2 linked regions of the Anolis sagrei genome follow. The protein of the gene in region 1 purifies or fractionates together with the protein of each later gene. This does not show direct contact. Links are inferred from orthologs where the notes say so. Each region holds a gene or a part of one and is shown in the gene's direction. Other genes may lie near its edges. The genes, in order: RIMS1 and ERC2.

The links.
Region 2: the proteins of RIMS1 (region 1) and ERC2 purify together in Homo sapiens (affinity purification with western blotting; 3 studies listed by BioGRID and IntAct, with this or other methods). This does not show direct contact. The link is inferred for Anolis sagrei from reciprocal best matches to the Homo sapiens genes RIMS1 and ERC2.

What each region holds. Positions count from the first base shown.
Region 1 is NC_090021.1:112,632,822-112,640,107, reverse strand, and holds the start of RIMS1 (regulating synaptic membrane exocytosis protein 1), read left to right. Parts: upstream 1-4,244; 5' UTR 4,245-5,019; coding exon 5,020-5,201; intron 5,202-7,286. UniProt on the Homo sapiens protein: Rab effector involved in exocytosis. May act as scaffold protein that regulates neurotransmitter release at the active zone.
Region 2 is NC_090022.1:58,446,919-58,455,121, forward strand, and holds the start of ERC2 (ERC protein 2), read left to right. Parts: upstream 1-5,119; 5' UTR 5,120-5,444; intron 5,445-8,203. UniProt on the Homo sapiens protein: Thought to be involved in the organization of the cytomatrix at the nerve terminals active zone (CAZ) which regulates neurotransmitter release. Seems to act together with BSN. May recruit liprin-alpha proteins to the CAZ.

The sequences.
Region 1 (7,286 bases):
AGTACATTTTAATAGTTATAGACATTTTGTCTAAATATGTCTGGGATTTGGTTCTAAAGGGTAAGTCAGGTAAAGAAATGTTCCCAAACCTTTAACTCTATTTTCAGGCAAGATGGATGAAAACCTGGAGCATTACTGACAGATCATGGTTGTGAGTTTCTAAAGAGCCTATTAAAACAACACGGGGTGCATCGTTTTGTCATTAATAATGAAGTTAAAGTAGGGGTTATAGAGCAGTTTAATAACTTTAAAAACAAAAATGTGGAGGTATTTCACTGTCATTGCTTCTAAAGAATCATAGTTTCCACCATTCTAAGAAAGCAAGTCTTGCTGATGTTAATATTCCAATTCACTAGCAGTGTAGAAAATAGTTTATGGTATCTCTGTGAAAAGAAAAGAGGTTCCATTATTCAAAAAGGGGGACTTTGAGGATTTCTAAAATCATGCACATATTTGCTAACAGCTATCAAAAAAGTTTCCCCCACTTAACATGCACAGTTTTCTAGATATTAAATATTTTGTCCTGGTGAAACGCTCATGTGAACTTTGGCCAGGAGATCTAGTTATATCACCCATAACTCATACTATATGTGATTTAGGCAATGCTTCAAACCCCCATAGACTGTATATCTCACAGTAAAGCCTGTTAAAGATGTCTGTCTTTTTGATGACATATTCACTGTTTCACGATTAATGTGTAAGCTTAGAAGACCAACCATGATGACATGGCTTGGGTGGGTTGTACCTGTACTGTCATCTTCCTAAAATATTTTTAAATAAAATGATTTAAAATGCTGTTGTTAAAACATACATTTGATACCAAAATCCACCACCAAATAATCATGTGTAGCTGAGTGTGCCTTATACACATCATCATCCACAAAGCATTAGTATATTTACAGATCCTTCACTAACTTTTTTGTTTTGCTTTATGCAGCCCTGCTACTGGTTCCTAAAATATAAAGAATGCTGAATGTTCTTTTTGGGACCTCTTTTTTGCAAGACTAAGCTAATTCCTCCAAAATAAGAACTAGTGTTTTTTTTTATTTTTACCTGCATTACAGGTGGTAAATAGTATCCAGCATGTAGTTTCACGTTTAGGAAATTCACATGCTTCCTGATGAAGAAGTGCATTATGAGAACTTATATAAAGTTTTCTGCTTAGAGTTTCACATCTGTCACTACAGTTTCAGGCTTTGTTGGCCTTGATGAAGTAGTTCAAGACTCAACGTCTTCTCAGGACATGAACTGGCAAACAAAATGTCTGAACCTCTAAGCTTTCTTCCTATTAATCCTTTGTCCAGGGATGTGTTTTCTGAGGCATTACATGGTGATAGAGGGGATAATCCAGGAAGGGGGCTGTGTGTGTAGGGCCATTTCCACCTGTTACGTCCTTTAAACAAATTGGGAAAGATTATGGAAACTACACCAATTGGATATTTCCAACTAGGCCCACATGGAAGCCATGTGATCATAGAGGAAGCATGTGACTTTCTGAGACAATCTGGGGAGAGGCAAAGAAAGGTTTTTCAGACCATTTTTCATCCACATGGATCATAGGGCTCTGAAATGCCTTCTGACAGATCCACAAGGCTATTGTATGGTGTTTATATGACCTCCTATGGTTGCCCCACCCACAAATAGGACTTCTGGTGACATGATATCCATCTAGGGTGGGATTTCTGGGGCAGGGTACCTGACAGGTACAGGGCTTATGATTTTGATTGGAGATGCACCTTTAATTGAATACATAAGTACTAGAAGGAAATGAAAGCTTTGTGTTTCACTCAGGAAAAGGTTTTCCACACCATTTGATATATATACAGAGATATTTCTAACAAAATGGTATCTCAGTACCAAACTTGGCATGCTAATATTCAGTTCTGATGAACAAATATCTTATTATTTCATGCCTGCTAACATTTAATTTTTAAAAAGAAGGAATATAATCTAATTCATATTCTGATTTTTTTCCTGATTTTGACATAAATTAATACATCCATGAATCAGTTCTATAAATTGCTCCATAATAACAGATATATTTTAAAAACACATACATTTTATTTTCATGTCACTGGCACTAATACGTAGACAAGCCTTTCGGATTGAGCTGAAATTTACTTAAGTCCAAAGCAGTGGTTCCCAACCTTTTTTGACCAGGGATTACTTGACCAGGGATCACTTTGACCAGGGACCACTCTCCAACGTTAGTACTGAAAGGGTTATGAATCAGTTTTTGGTTAACTTTAGATTCAGTTTGGTTATTTGGGGTGCTGATTCAGAAAATTACATTGGATAGACCACATCAGCTCTAGTTTCTGATACTGAACATATGCCATCCAGTAGTCACCATCAGCTCACCCACAGAAAACCATATTTAATAAGCCTTGGCACTATAAAAGGATTTCACGAGACCAGTAATTCTCGTTGCAACAATGTAGTAATGGTGTGGCCACGGACCATATTTTAGTTCTTGCGGACCACAGGTTGAGAATCACTGGTCTAAAGGGTGAGGAATCAATGGCTTCAGTGGGCCCTGGCTAATGAAGAAGGAGTTCCAACCCAACCTTCAAAGGAGCTTTCCATGGTGCTGAATTAGAGTATTCAAACAAGTTCAATGCCCTGGAGAGCTCTCTTTCAAAAGACTGGAATAGATAGATACACTGATACAGGAGCCACCAAGCAGTACTGTCTAACGCAGGACTTGAGCATACCAACATTTCCCACGCCTGCTCCCATACATGATGCTTCAATCATTTGCTGCATCTGCCATGTTTGCACACAGAAAATGAACTAAAAAATTAAGGGCACTCCCTACAATGTGAATCCTAACCTCATTCATCCCAGATACAGTAGGGGGCTTGTTGATTTTTTGGATGCACATCCCCACCTTGGATTGTGCTCAGAGCAGCATGGTTTAGCTCAGACATGGGTAGAATTTGGCCCTCCAGGTGTTTGGACTTCAAGTCCCCCAATTCCTAACAGTTTGAGGCCCTTTCCTTTCACCCCTCACCTGCTTAAGTGGAAAGGAAAGAAAAGAAAGGAGGGGGCCTAAGGCTGTTAGGAATTGGAGGAGTTGAAGTCCAAAACACCTGAAGGGCGGATATCTGCCCATGCCTGGTTTAGCCTCAGACTCCTTAGGGTCACCAGCCTTGCCCTCCCTCTAAACCCTGGAAAAACCTGTGACTGGGTTTTGGGGAGAGCACACTCCCTCTGGGTAACCGCCCAGGAGATGGCTCTCACCCTGGCACACCCCAAGGGAACTCTGATCCAAAGGCGAGGCCAACCTGCTCGCCCTCTGTCTCTCCCTTTCTGTGGCAGGTTGGGAAGCAGGACTACTTGCCTGGAAAGAGGAGCCATATCCTTGGAAAAATGACTCTCCCCATATCCCCCAGGAAATACACAGGATCCCAGGGAAAGGGATGGAGAGAAAGGTGTCCATGTAGTTTTCCAGCAGGCTGTGGGGAGAGAGGGAGGGAGGGAGGGAGGGAGAGAAAGGTATCTATGTGTATTTCCAGCATGCTGTGGAAAGAGAGGGAAAGGGAGAAAGGTGTCTATGTATATTTCCAGCAGAGAGGGAGGGAGGCTGGGAGGGAAAGGTATCTATGTATACTTCCAGCATGCTGTGGAGACAGGGAGGAAGAGAGGGCAATAAAGGTGTCTTAAGTATATTTCCAGCATACTGTGGAGAGGTGGGGGGGGGGGGGAGAGAAAAGTATCTATGTATATTTCCAGCATGCTGTGGAAAGAGAGAGAGGGAGAGAAAGGTGTCTATGTATATTTCCAGTGTGCTGTGGAGAGAGGGAGAGAGGGATGGATGGAGGGAGAGGTGTCTATGTATATTTCTAGTGTGCTGAAAGGGAGGGAAAGGGAGGGAAGGAGGGAGTGAAAGGTGTGTATGTATATTTCCAGCTGCTGTGGAGAGAGGGAGAGAGAGGGAGGGAGAGAAAGGTGTCTATGTATATTTCCAGCATGCTGTGGAAAGAGGGAGTGGAAGAGAGGGAGAGAGAAAGAGAAAGGTGTCTATGTATATTTCCAGCGTGGTATGGAAAGAGGGAGAGGGCGAGAGAGAGAGGAGGGGAGAAACAGAGCAGATAGAGAGAGCTGAGAAAGGGAAGCGAGGGAGAGAGAAGGTGGGTGAGATGAGAGAGTGAGTGAGAGAGAGAGAGAGAGAGGAGAGCCTTGAGCATCACCCGGGAGTGGAGCAGTGTGGACTCCGCCTAAGTGACACCCAGTTCCCTCCTCCCTCCCTCCCCTCCCTGTAGCTCGCTCCCAGCAGCAGCAGCAGCAGTGGAGCATTGGAGCCGCGGCAGCATCCGCCCTTCCTTCTTTCCTTCTATCCTCCCTTCCTTCTCTCCTTCTTTCCTTCCTTCCTTCCTTCCTTGCATCCTCCTTCCTTCCTTCTTTCCTTCCTTCCCTCCCTCCTTTCTCCCCCTCCAGCCCTGACAGTGCACCGAAGGACCTGAGCTCCACCCGTGGCTCCTGCTGCTGCTGCTGCTCCCTTCCTTGCCTTCTCCTCCTCCCGGAGCCTTGAAGAAGAGGAGGAGGAGGAGGAGAGGGAAGGAGGATGCTGGGCTGCCCGAGGCTGCGGGGCATCCCCGGATCCGCCTGAGGCCCCGAAGCCAAAGGGCGAGGAGAGAGCCAGGGGCAACAACGGCGGCGGCGGCGGCGGCTCTGGGGCGGAGGCGAGGAGCAACCATGAACGGCGCCCGGGTCTCCGCCTCTCCTCCTCCTCCTCCTCCTCCTCCTCTTGCTGCTGCTTCTCCTGCTGCTGCTTCCCCAGAGCTGCTGGCTGCCGCTGCCCATGAACACAGGGCTCCAGTGTAGCGGGAGGAGGAGGAGGAAGAAGAAAAAGAAGAAGAGGAAGAGAAGGAAAAAGAAGAAGAGGAGAAGGTGGCGGCGGCGTGCTTGGCTAGCGTCGCGCCCGGGTCCCAAGGCGTTGGAGGAGGAAGAGGAAGAGGAGGAGGAGGAGGGGGGAGAGGAGAGGAGCCCTCCACCACCACCACCACCACCACCACCATGTCTTCCTCTTCCTCTTCTTCCTGCTCGGTGGGGCTGCGCGCCTCTCGTCCCCCCGCCGTGCCGCCCCCCATGCCGGAGCTGCCCGACCTGAGCCACTTGACGGAGGAGGAGCGCAACATCATCCTGGCCGTGATGGACCGGCAGAAGGAGGAGGAGGAGAAGGAAGAGGCCATGCTCAAGTAAGCCCCAGGCCGGCCCCTCCCTCCCTCTCCTCTCCTCTCTCCCTGGTTCATTCATTCACTCACTCGCTCACTCTCTCTCTCTCTCTCTCTCCTCGCGGGAGGGTGGGCTGGATCTGGTCTTGTCAGCCACCGAGGGAGGGAGGGAGGAGAGGGAGAGTTTTATGAATGGGCCATGCATGGCGGGGTGGGGTCAGGGGGGAAAGGGGGGGGCAGGGGAAAAGGGGCTCTAGGGCTGCCTGGCTTGGCTTGAGGCCCCACTCGGGCCCTATCCAAAGGCCCTTCCACACAGCCCTATATCCCAAGATATCAATTCCATATTATCTGCTTTGAACTGGAATATATGGCAGTGTGGACTCAACCCAGGGCCCTTCCATACAGCCCTATATTCCTGAATATCAAGACAGAAAATCCCACAATATCTGGGTTATCTGAGTCCACACTCAGATAATGTGGGATTGCCTGCCTTGGTATTCTGGGATAAAGGGCTGTGTGGAAGGGTCCTGAGTCCACACTCAGATATTGAGAAATTTCCTGACTTAATATACCGGGATATAGGGCTGTGTGGAAGGGCTCTGAGTCCACACTCGGATAATGTGGGATTGCCTGCCTTGATATTCTGGAATATAGGGCTGTGTAGAAGGGCCCTGAGTCCACACTCTGATAATGTAGGATTGCCTGCCTTGATAATCTGGGATATAGGGCTGTGTGGAAGAGCCTCAAGTGCCTCTTCCTCCCTCCCTCCTCTTCACTCCTGAGATAACTCTTCCTCTGTGAGGAGACCCCTGAACCACAATCCAACCCTTAGCCTCCTCTGGGGTTCTCTCCAAAAGGTGCATCAGCCATGACTTCTGGCTTTATTTTGATGTTAAAGCAAACGTTTGGAAGAATTTGAAAGGTTTTTTTTAGGGGAAAACCCCATCAGACCCTCAAGTCAACCCAGCCTATTTTGGGAGGGTCATTCAGGGTGGGGTTTCCCTCACCGGAGCCTTGAACAGGCCATGCTGCCCCCGCCTGGCACAAGCACGTCCACACCCTGGGCCTTGGTGGCTGGCTTGTGCCTGGTTCCCTCAACCACCTGCAGGAATTCTCCATCTGGGTCTCTATAGTTGTCCCCCCTCCTTTCCAATCCTTTCAATCTCCCCCTCCTCTTATCTTACCAATATGTGTGTACAGCATGGTGGTGGATTTAAGGCATGTTTTGAAGAGATGCCATGGGGGATACAATAAATGCAATCAATAGCATGTCTGGTCTCCCAGAAATGGCTGTGCCTATCCACTGGTGGGACCTTATCATCCGTTGACTTCATCCCCTAACCTAAGTCTTTAGCTGTAAAAGTGTGTGTGTGTGGTGATGGGGATGCCAGAGTGCTGGGAGATGCCATATTTGGGAGCTGTCCATATTTCAAACTGCCCATAGCTCTGCTGTGCTACAGCCTCTCTTCCTCACCCATGTCATGCATGAACAGATTCATTATCCTTCTACCAATAAGTGTCCTGAGATCTAATAGCACGATATTAGATGGATTGCTACATCTAAACAGGGTTATTGGGCCTGTGTACAGGGAGGGAGGGAGGCTTTGTCTCCATCTAACATCCTCTGGGCCTAGGTAGCAGAATGCAATCTGTATATTTATACCTGTGTATCTGTAACATGTCAGCTTCCTGTTGGTAGAGGTACTAAGAAAATCCCCTTTCCTCTCTATGCATTTGCTTCCCATGTGTTTATTTGGAGGATTGGTGGCTTCCCAAAAGATGTGTAAACACAGTGTGAGGCTTTGGGGGGGGGGGGGTGTGGAGACGGAGCATTGAATGCCAAGCAATGCATTCCAAGGTGTGAGTTGTAGTATTTGTCTGTTCTTCTCCTCTCCCTCCAGCTAGCTGTGTCATCTATAATATGGAATCCCTGTGTTCTCTGAACTTCTCTGCCATGTATATTGCCAGGGATAGACCTGGGGTGTTTCCTTGTTTCTTATTGTGATGTTGTCTGTTCTCGCTCTGAAATTTGAATGGAATTTGGATAATTGCAATAGTGGTGGCAGGTGCTGTTGTCCAAATATACACCTGGGCCCAGTAATAGAATCA
Region 2 (8,203 bases), on another chromosome or scaffold:
TGATGTTTCAACGTACACTAACTTTGTTTCCGGTGCAAAATTATTTTAATAATATTGTATAAAATTACCCCCAGGTTATCTGCATAATGAGGTGTAAACACATTTCTTATTTAGACTTGGATCCCATCTCCAAGATACCTCATTATGTGCAGATATGCAAATAGAGCTCACCTATTTTGAAATTTAAAATACATCTGTCTCCAAGCATTTCAGATAAGAGATACTCAACTTGAATAATAAATAGGAAGTCAGTTTTAAGGTGGTGTGTAGGTGTATAAATATTATTTAGCTATAGGTGCAAGGGTATTAAGGGTGATTATGAGTGGTAGTTTTTGTAACAGGTGGGTTTGTGTCACATAGCACTATTTTGCTCATTTCTGCTTACTTACATCTTGCTGTACTTTGTAATGTATATTGGGCTACAGTAGCATTGAGGGTTAAACCGCTAGCAGCAGAAAAATTGCTGGCCAGATGGTTAGCAGTTCAAAATTGTGGGTTGGGGTGAGCTCTGGGCTGTCAGTCCTAGCTTGTGCCAACCTAGCAGTTCGAAAATATGTAATATCAGTAGATCCATAGGTACCATGTTGGCGGGAAGGCAAAAGGCAGCCATACAACCATGCCAGCAAAATATGACCAGTGGAGTCCATGGACACCAGGCTCCTCAGTTTGGAAAATGGAACAAGATCACCTCTCCATGGCTAAGTTGAGCATCACCTCCAGATGCCGGGGATGGAAATGGAAACCTTTGCTTTCATTTGCATATTGTATGTCATTGTTCACTGTATAAAAGACTTGAATGTTTGCTTATATATGTATATACTGTAATTCACTCTAAGTCCCCTTGGGGATATAGAGTCGAATATAAATAAAGTGTATTATTCTTATTAAAGTGTGTATTTGTTAGATGTATTCCACATTTTTAGTTATGTATATGTTTACATATTTCATAAAACATGCATTCAATATATTTCATAAAACATTTAATGGGAAGTCAACATTTTAAGATTGGAGATATATAGGTAGAAGAGGGGGTTTAAGGCTGATTGAGGGTGGTAGTTGTTGCAATGGGTGTGGTGGGGTCGGGGCACTGTTATATATACATATTCTACATTTTCAGTTATGTTTGTGCTTATATACTGATATTTTGTATAGTTGATATATTCAATTTTTATAAACATAAAATATAGTTAAGATTTAAACATGTACATAGATACATAATTTCTCTCTCTCTATATATATATATTCCACCTAAAAGTGACTTCCCATTTAATAGAATTATTAAATATATTATATTTTATTAAATGGAAGTCAGTTTTTTAGGTGGGATACACACACATACACATACATATTCGATTATGTATGTGTTTAAATATTTATTTGATAAAAATCTAATATATTTATTATACTATAATCTTTATGTAATATATTTCATACAAATATTACGTGGGAAGTCAGTTTTCTAAGGTGGGAGAGATCTTATATTTTCAGTTATGTATATCTTTATGTATTTAATATAGTTTGGGCCTCTTCGAGGAGAAGATGGGGCAACGCTGTCAGGGGATAGGGAAAAGGCAGAACTACTAAATACCTTCTTTGCCTCGGTCTTCTCACAAAAAGAAAGTCATCTTCAACCTCAGCAAGACGGAGTGGATGAGGGATTTGAGGACATCCAACTCCAAATTGGGAAACAAGTCGTACAGGAATACCTGGCCGCTCTAAATGAGTTCAAGTCCCCAGGGCCAGATCAACTACACCCAAGAGTACTGAAGGAACTAGCGGAAGTCATTTCGGAACCATTGGCAACCATCTTTGAGAGTTCTTGGAGAACAGGAGAAGTTCCAGCAGATTGGAGGAGGGCCAATGTGGTCCCAGTCTTCAAGAAGGGAAAAAAGGATGACCCAAACAACTACCGTCCGGTCAGCCTCACGTCGATACCAGGCAAGATTCTGGAAAAGATTGTTAAGGAAGCAGTCTGCAAACACTTAGAAACAAATGCGGTCATTGCTAATAGTCAACATGGATTTATCAAAAACAAGTCATGCCAGACTAATCTGATCTCTTTTTTCGATAGAGTTACAAGCTGGGTAGATGCGGGGAATGCCGTGGATGTAGCGTACCTGGATTTCAGTAAGGCCTTCGACAAGGTCCCCCATGACCTTCTGGCAAGGAAACTAGTCCAATGTGGGCTAGGCAAAACTACGGTGAGGTGGATCAGTAATTGGTTAAATTGATGAACCCAGAGGGTGCTCACCAATGCTTCCTCTTCATCCTGGAAAGAAGTGACAAGTGGAGTGCCGCATGGTTCCGTCCTGGGCCCGGTCCTGTTCAACATCTTTATTAATGACTTAGATGAAGGGTTAGAAGGCAGGATCATCAAGTTTGCAGACGACACCAAATTGGGAGGGATAGCCAATACTCCAGAGGACAGGAGCAGGATTCAAAACGATCTTGACAGATTAGAGAGATGGGCCAAAACTAACAAAATGAAGTTCAACAGGGACAAATGCAAGATACTCCACTTTGGCAGGAAAAACGAAATGCAAAGATACAAAATGGGGGATGCCTGGCTCGAGAGCAGTACGTGTGAAAAAGATCTTGGAGACCTCGTGGACAACAAGTTAAACATGAGCCAACAATGTGATGTGGCAGCAAAAAAAGCCAATGGGATGTTGGCCTGCATCAATAGGAGCATAGTGTCTAGATCTAGGGAAGTCATGCTACCCCTCTATTCTGCTTTGGTTAGACCACACCTGGAATATTGTGTCCAATTCTGGGCACCACAATTCAAGAGAGATATTGACAAGCTGGAATGTGTCCAGAGGAGAGCGACTAAAATGATAAAAGGTCTGGAGAACAAGCCCTATGAGGAGCGGTTAAAGGAGCTGGGCATGTTTAGCCTGAAGAAGAGAAGGCTGAGAGGGGATATGATAGCCATGTATAAATATGTGAGAGGAGGCCACAGGGAGGAGGGAGCAAGCTTGTTTTCTGCTTCCTGGAGACTAGGACGCGGAACAATGGCTTCAAACTACAAGAGAGGAGATTCCATCTGAACATGAGGAAGAACTTCCTGACTGTGAGAGCCGTTCAGCAGTGGAACTCTCTGCCCCAGTGTGTGGTGGAGGCTCCTTCTTTGGAAGCTTTTAAACAGAGGCTGGATGGCCATCTGTCAGGGGTGATTTGAATGCAATATTCCTGCTTCTTGGCAGGGGGTTGGACTGGATGGCCCATGAGGTCTCTTCCAACTCTTTGATTCTATGATTCTATGATTTGTACAAATCTAATATATTTATGAAACTGTATAATCAATAGGTAATATATTATAACCTAGATACAATATATTTAGTAAAATATAACATATATGCAATGCATTTAAATCCAGATAGCCAATATTTTCAGTTACCAACACATTTATTTACTATAGTTTATAAAAATCTAGTATATTTATTCAACTGTATAATCAATATGCGGTATATTTAATAAAATACAACCAATATGCAATATATTTTAAATGTACCATGTATGCAATGTATTTAAATATAATGTAGAGGATATATATTATAGATCTCTCTTTTCTCTTAGGCGATCCCTCATTGTCTGAGTAGGATAGTTTCCCAAGATCAGTGTACTGGTGGGTCTGTAGGTGATTGTGGAGCCCTATTCTTGATCTGCATCTTCTCCTGCAGTGAAGGCATTGGTTTCCAGGTGGAAGGCGGTCTCAGTTGGGATTGGCTTGATGCGCCTACCTTGTTTCTCTCTTTCACCCTCCATTTGTGCCTCTTCAAATTCTACAGTACTGCTGGTCACAGCTGACTTCCAGCTGGAGCACTCAAGGGCCAGGGCTTCCCAGTTCTCAGTGTCTATGCCAGAGTTTTTAAGGTTGGCTTTGAGCCCATCTTTAAATCGCTTTTCCTGTCCACGAACATTCCGTTTTCCGTTCTTAAGTTCGGAGTAGAGCAACTGCTTTGGGACACAGTGGTTGGGCATCTGGACAACGTGGCCAGTCCAGCAGAGTTGATGGTGGAGAACCATTGCTTCAATGCTGGTGGTCTTTGCTTCTTCCATCATGCTGACATTTGTCCGCTTGTCTTCCCAAGAGATTTGCAGGATTTTCCGGAGGCAGCGCTGATGGAATCATCCCAGGACTTGCATGTGATGTCTGTAGACAGTCCGCGTCTTGCAGGCAAATAGCATGGTTGGGAGTAGAGCAACCGGACAACATGGCCGGTCCAGCGGAGTTGATGGCAGGGACCATTGCTTCAATGCTGGTGGTCTTTGCTTCTTCCAGCACACTGACCTTTGTCCGCTTAATAATTAATAATATATATAATAGATTATATATATGAATATAATAGATGTAATATATTGAACTATAACATATTTAATATATTTAAATATAATAGATGTAATATATTGAAATGTAACAGTTTTAATATATAAATAAATATAATAGATGTAATATATGGAACTATAACAGATTGAATATATTTAAAAATAATAGAAGCAATATATTTTAAAATAATAGATGTATATATACATATATATTATTTTTAAAATATATTACATATTTTAATATATTAAATAATAATAATACAATAATAGATGTAATATATTTAAATATAACAGATTTAATATATTTGAATATAATAGATGCAATATATTTTAAAATAATATATATATATATTACATCTATAATATAATAATAATAATACAATAATACATGTAATATATTTAAATATAACAGATTTAATATATTTCAATATGATAGATGTAATATATTGAAATAATAACAGATTGGAGATATATATATATATATATATATATATATAAGATGTAATATATTGAAATCTAATATTCAATTCAATATATTTCATAAAATATTTTTCAACGTTACTTTTCAATGTAAATGTGTTTTCTGAGCCTTCAAACCACAGCGACTACCAGCTGTTAAAGGGTGTATATATACCTTTTTGGGGCGGGGGGGGGGGGCTCCATCCAGGGAGGGGGCTGGCACGCCAAGGACCGCTTTGCTCTCTCCCTTCTCTCTCTCTCTGTCTCTCTCTCTCTCTCTCAGAAGCCTCTTTTCCCGAAGCAGCTCTCTACCGCCCCTAGCGGCGACTGCTGCTCATTGCCGCGCTCTCTCCTCGGGAATGCTGGGAATGTTGAGTCAGGCGCTGGCCGGGCTGCGAGCTGGCCGAGGCTGAGAGCGGGCAAGGCAGGCAAGGCAGGCAGGCAGGCAGCCCGGGAGAGGAGCCTCCCCGCTGGGGACGGACTGCGGCGCCGTGGGTCGGTCTCCTCGGGCGCTGGCCTCCTCCCTCTCTCCCTCCCTCCCTGCGACGCCGCAAGCCGTGATGGTGTAGGGCTCCATGCGAGGAGGAAGAGGAAGAGGAGGAGGAGGAAGAAGAGGAGGAAGAAGAAGAGGAAGGTGCAAGACGATGGTGGGGAAGGTAAGCAAAGGGCACCGCTTGGGAGGCACACCTTCGCCGAGGGGCCTGAGGATGGGGAGAGAGAGAGAGAGAGAGAGAGAGAGGAACAGGCATGGCTGTCATCCAACCCTCGGTGTGCCCAAAGGGGAGCTTGCATCCCTCTGGATCATAGTAAGGAGTCCATCCAGTGCCTCTCCCTTTCCAGGGAAGCAGATGCCTTCGTGCAATCCCTCCTCGAAAACAGCAGCCTGGTTGCCTTGCTGGCTGGGCTGTGCCTGGCATGGGCTGTTGTAGCCATCTCTCCAGATACACTATCCATCTCTCCATTTCTCTGTACAATATATCTAGATAGATGCCTGTGAGCCATCCCTACAGCGTTCTTGTCTACTAGGAAACGATGCCTGGGTTTGTAAATAGTAGATATTTGCAGGGGGGAAATGAATCAGTGCTGCTCCCTCCCTCCCTTCCTTCTTTCCTTCCCCTTCATCATCTTAGGGGTTTCCCAGGAAGGAGAAGAAATGGTATTTTATTATAGATGCAGTATATATTCCCATATATTCAATCTATATATATATACTCCCATATATTCAATCTATATATATATAACTTTGGATAAATTTAAATATATTGCATATATATATATATATATATGTTCAATCGACTATTTTAAAATATATTGCACCTATTATATTTATGCATATAAAATCTGTTATTTTTGAATATATTGCATCGATTTTTATATTATAGAAGCAGTATAATATAATGTATTCCATCTGTTATCTATCTATCTATCTATCTATCTATTACTTCTGTTATATTTATTATATTTAAACTATTTTATTGATCTATCTTAAATCTGTTGAATTTACATATATCACATCTATTATATTCAAATATATTGGATCTGTTCTATTTATATAATAATAATAATAATAATAATAATAGCAACTTTATTTTAACCCATCCTCTCTCCCCGAAGGAACTCAGGGTGGCTTCCACAGGCAAAAAATGGCAAACATTCAATGCCATGTCCTATGACAAAAAATTAAAATTAAAACAAGTACCAACAAACAGTTAAAAATGAGCAGTTAAAATAAACCAGTTATATAATAAACAAATGGATCCATGGCTTGTTAGGAGTGAGGGAGGGGTTACATTGTGGTCCCATCTGGGATGATTGGAAGAAGGGATGGTGACCTGTGCCCCCCCCCCCCTTGAGCTCTCTGTGTCTGTGATGATAGATGCTGTCTGGGTTTTGCACAAGGATGTGCAGCCATCAGGCGTGGGATGGAGAGACCCCTCCCTCCATTTGGTCCCTTTTAAAGCGGCTACCTGCTCAACCTGGGAGGAAAGGATGGAAGGATGGAGGGCCAGGGCTCCCTGTGAATTGACATGTCCCTTTTGATGGACAAGCCCACAGGCCACTGGCGTTGGCAGGGATGGGCTCCTGGCCCTGGGCTCAGCCAATTGGTGTGGCCAGGAGGAGGGCAGAGCTGCTGGTCAGAGCGAGTTTCCTGGTTGGCTTTAGGGACAGAAAGAGAAGAAATCACAGCTTTCTCTAAACCCTTTGCCTGCTACTCTCCCCAGCCTCTCCCCTTTTTCTCCACTGCAGTGAAAACCAACCAGAGGGGGGTCCCCACTATAAGTGTTGCCAGGGAGTCACATGGTGCATCTACACCGAAGAATGGATGCTTATGGAAGCATGGGATGTGTAGTTTGGTGAGGCACCAGCACTATAGGATCGAGAAGGCTAAAGACCTTGCAAAACTATAATTCTCAGGTTTGCATAGCACTGAGCCATGGCAGTTGAAGCAGGGTCAAACTGCATTAATTCAACAGTGTAGACCAGGCATGGGCTAGCTTCAGCCCTCCAGGTGTTTTGGACTTCAACTCCCACCATTCCTATCAACCTCAGGCCCTTTCCTTTCCCCCCTCAGCTGCTTAAGCGGCTGAGGGGGAAAAGGAAGGGGCCTGAGGCTGTTAGGAATGGTAGGAGTTGAAGTCCAAAACACTTGGAGGGCCAAAGTTGGCCCATGCTTGGTGTAGATGCACCCCTAGAGAGTCACACACACAATCTCCATTGGACACTTCCAAACCTCTCCGTGATGTATAGAGGGATCTTAGGCAATTTCAGCCTTAGTATTTGGGTGGCTTCTGTCTCTATTTCTCTCACATATGTTTCCTCAAAGAGACAGTCTGCAGGTCAGACCATGGGCAGCTTGTGGTCTGACCTCCCTCTTAAGACTCAAGCTGATCCCCACCATACAGAAGGATTTGTCATAACTGTGAGAGAAATGCACCCTTTCTCTCTTTAAGGATCTCATCATACTAGAGAATGAATCCACTTTAAATCCGGTTGCTGCCTCCTACAGAATTCTGGGGGTTTGTAGTTTAGGGAGGAGCATTTAACAGCCTCACTAAACTACAAACCCCAGAATTCTGCAGGAGGCAGAAACCAGATTTAGTGGTTCCTCCTCTTACCAGATGTTACTTTGGCTTTCCCTTTGTTTGGGAAGGTGCTCCGTGGCTGTCTGTCAAGAGGGCTTTGATTTCTCCATGACAGAATGGGCGGACCTGGTGGTCTCTTCCAACTCTAGGATTCTATGACTCTAAGATTTTTCCTCTCCTTAGGATTCCTTCATCTATGGATGGAGATAGCATAAATAATTGATCTAACCATATTCTTCATGGTATTTTTTTTAAATATACAGTGCTTTAGAGATACTGGTTGCATCTGCCAAAACATGGAAAAAAGATTCTCCTTTGGCATATCAGGAACA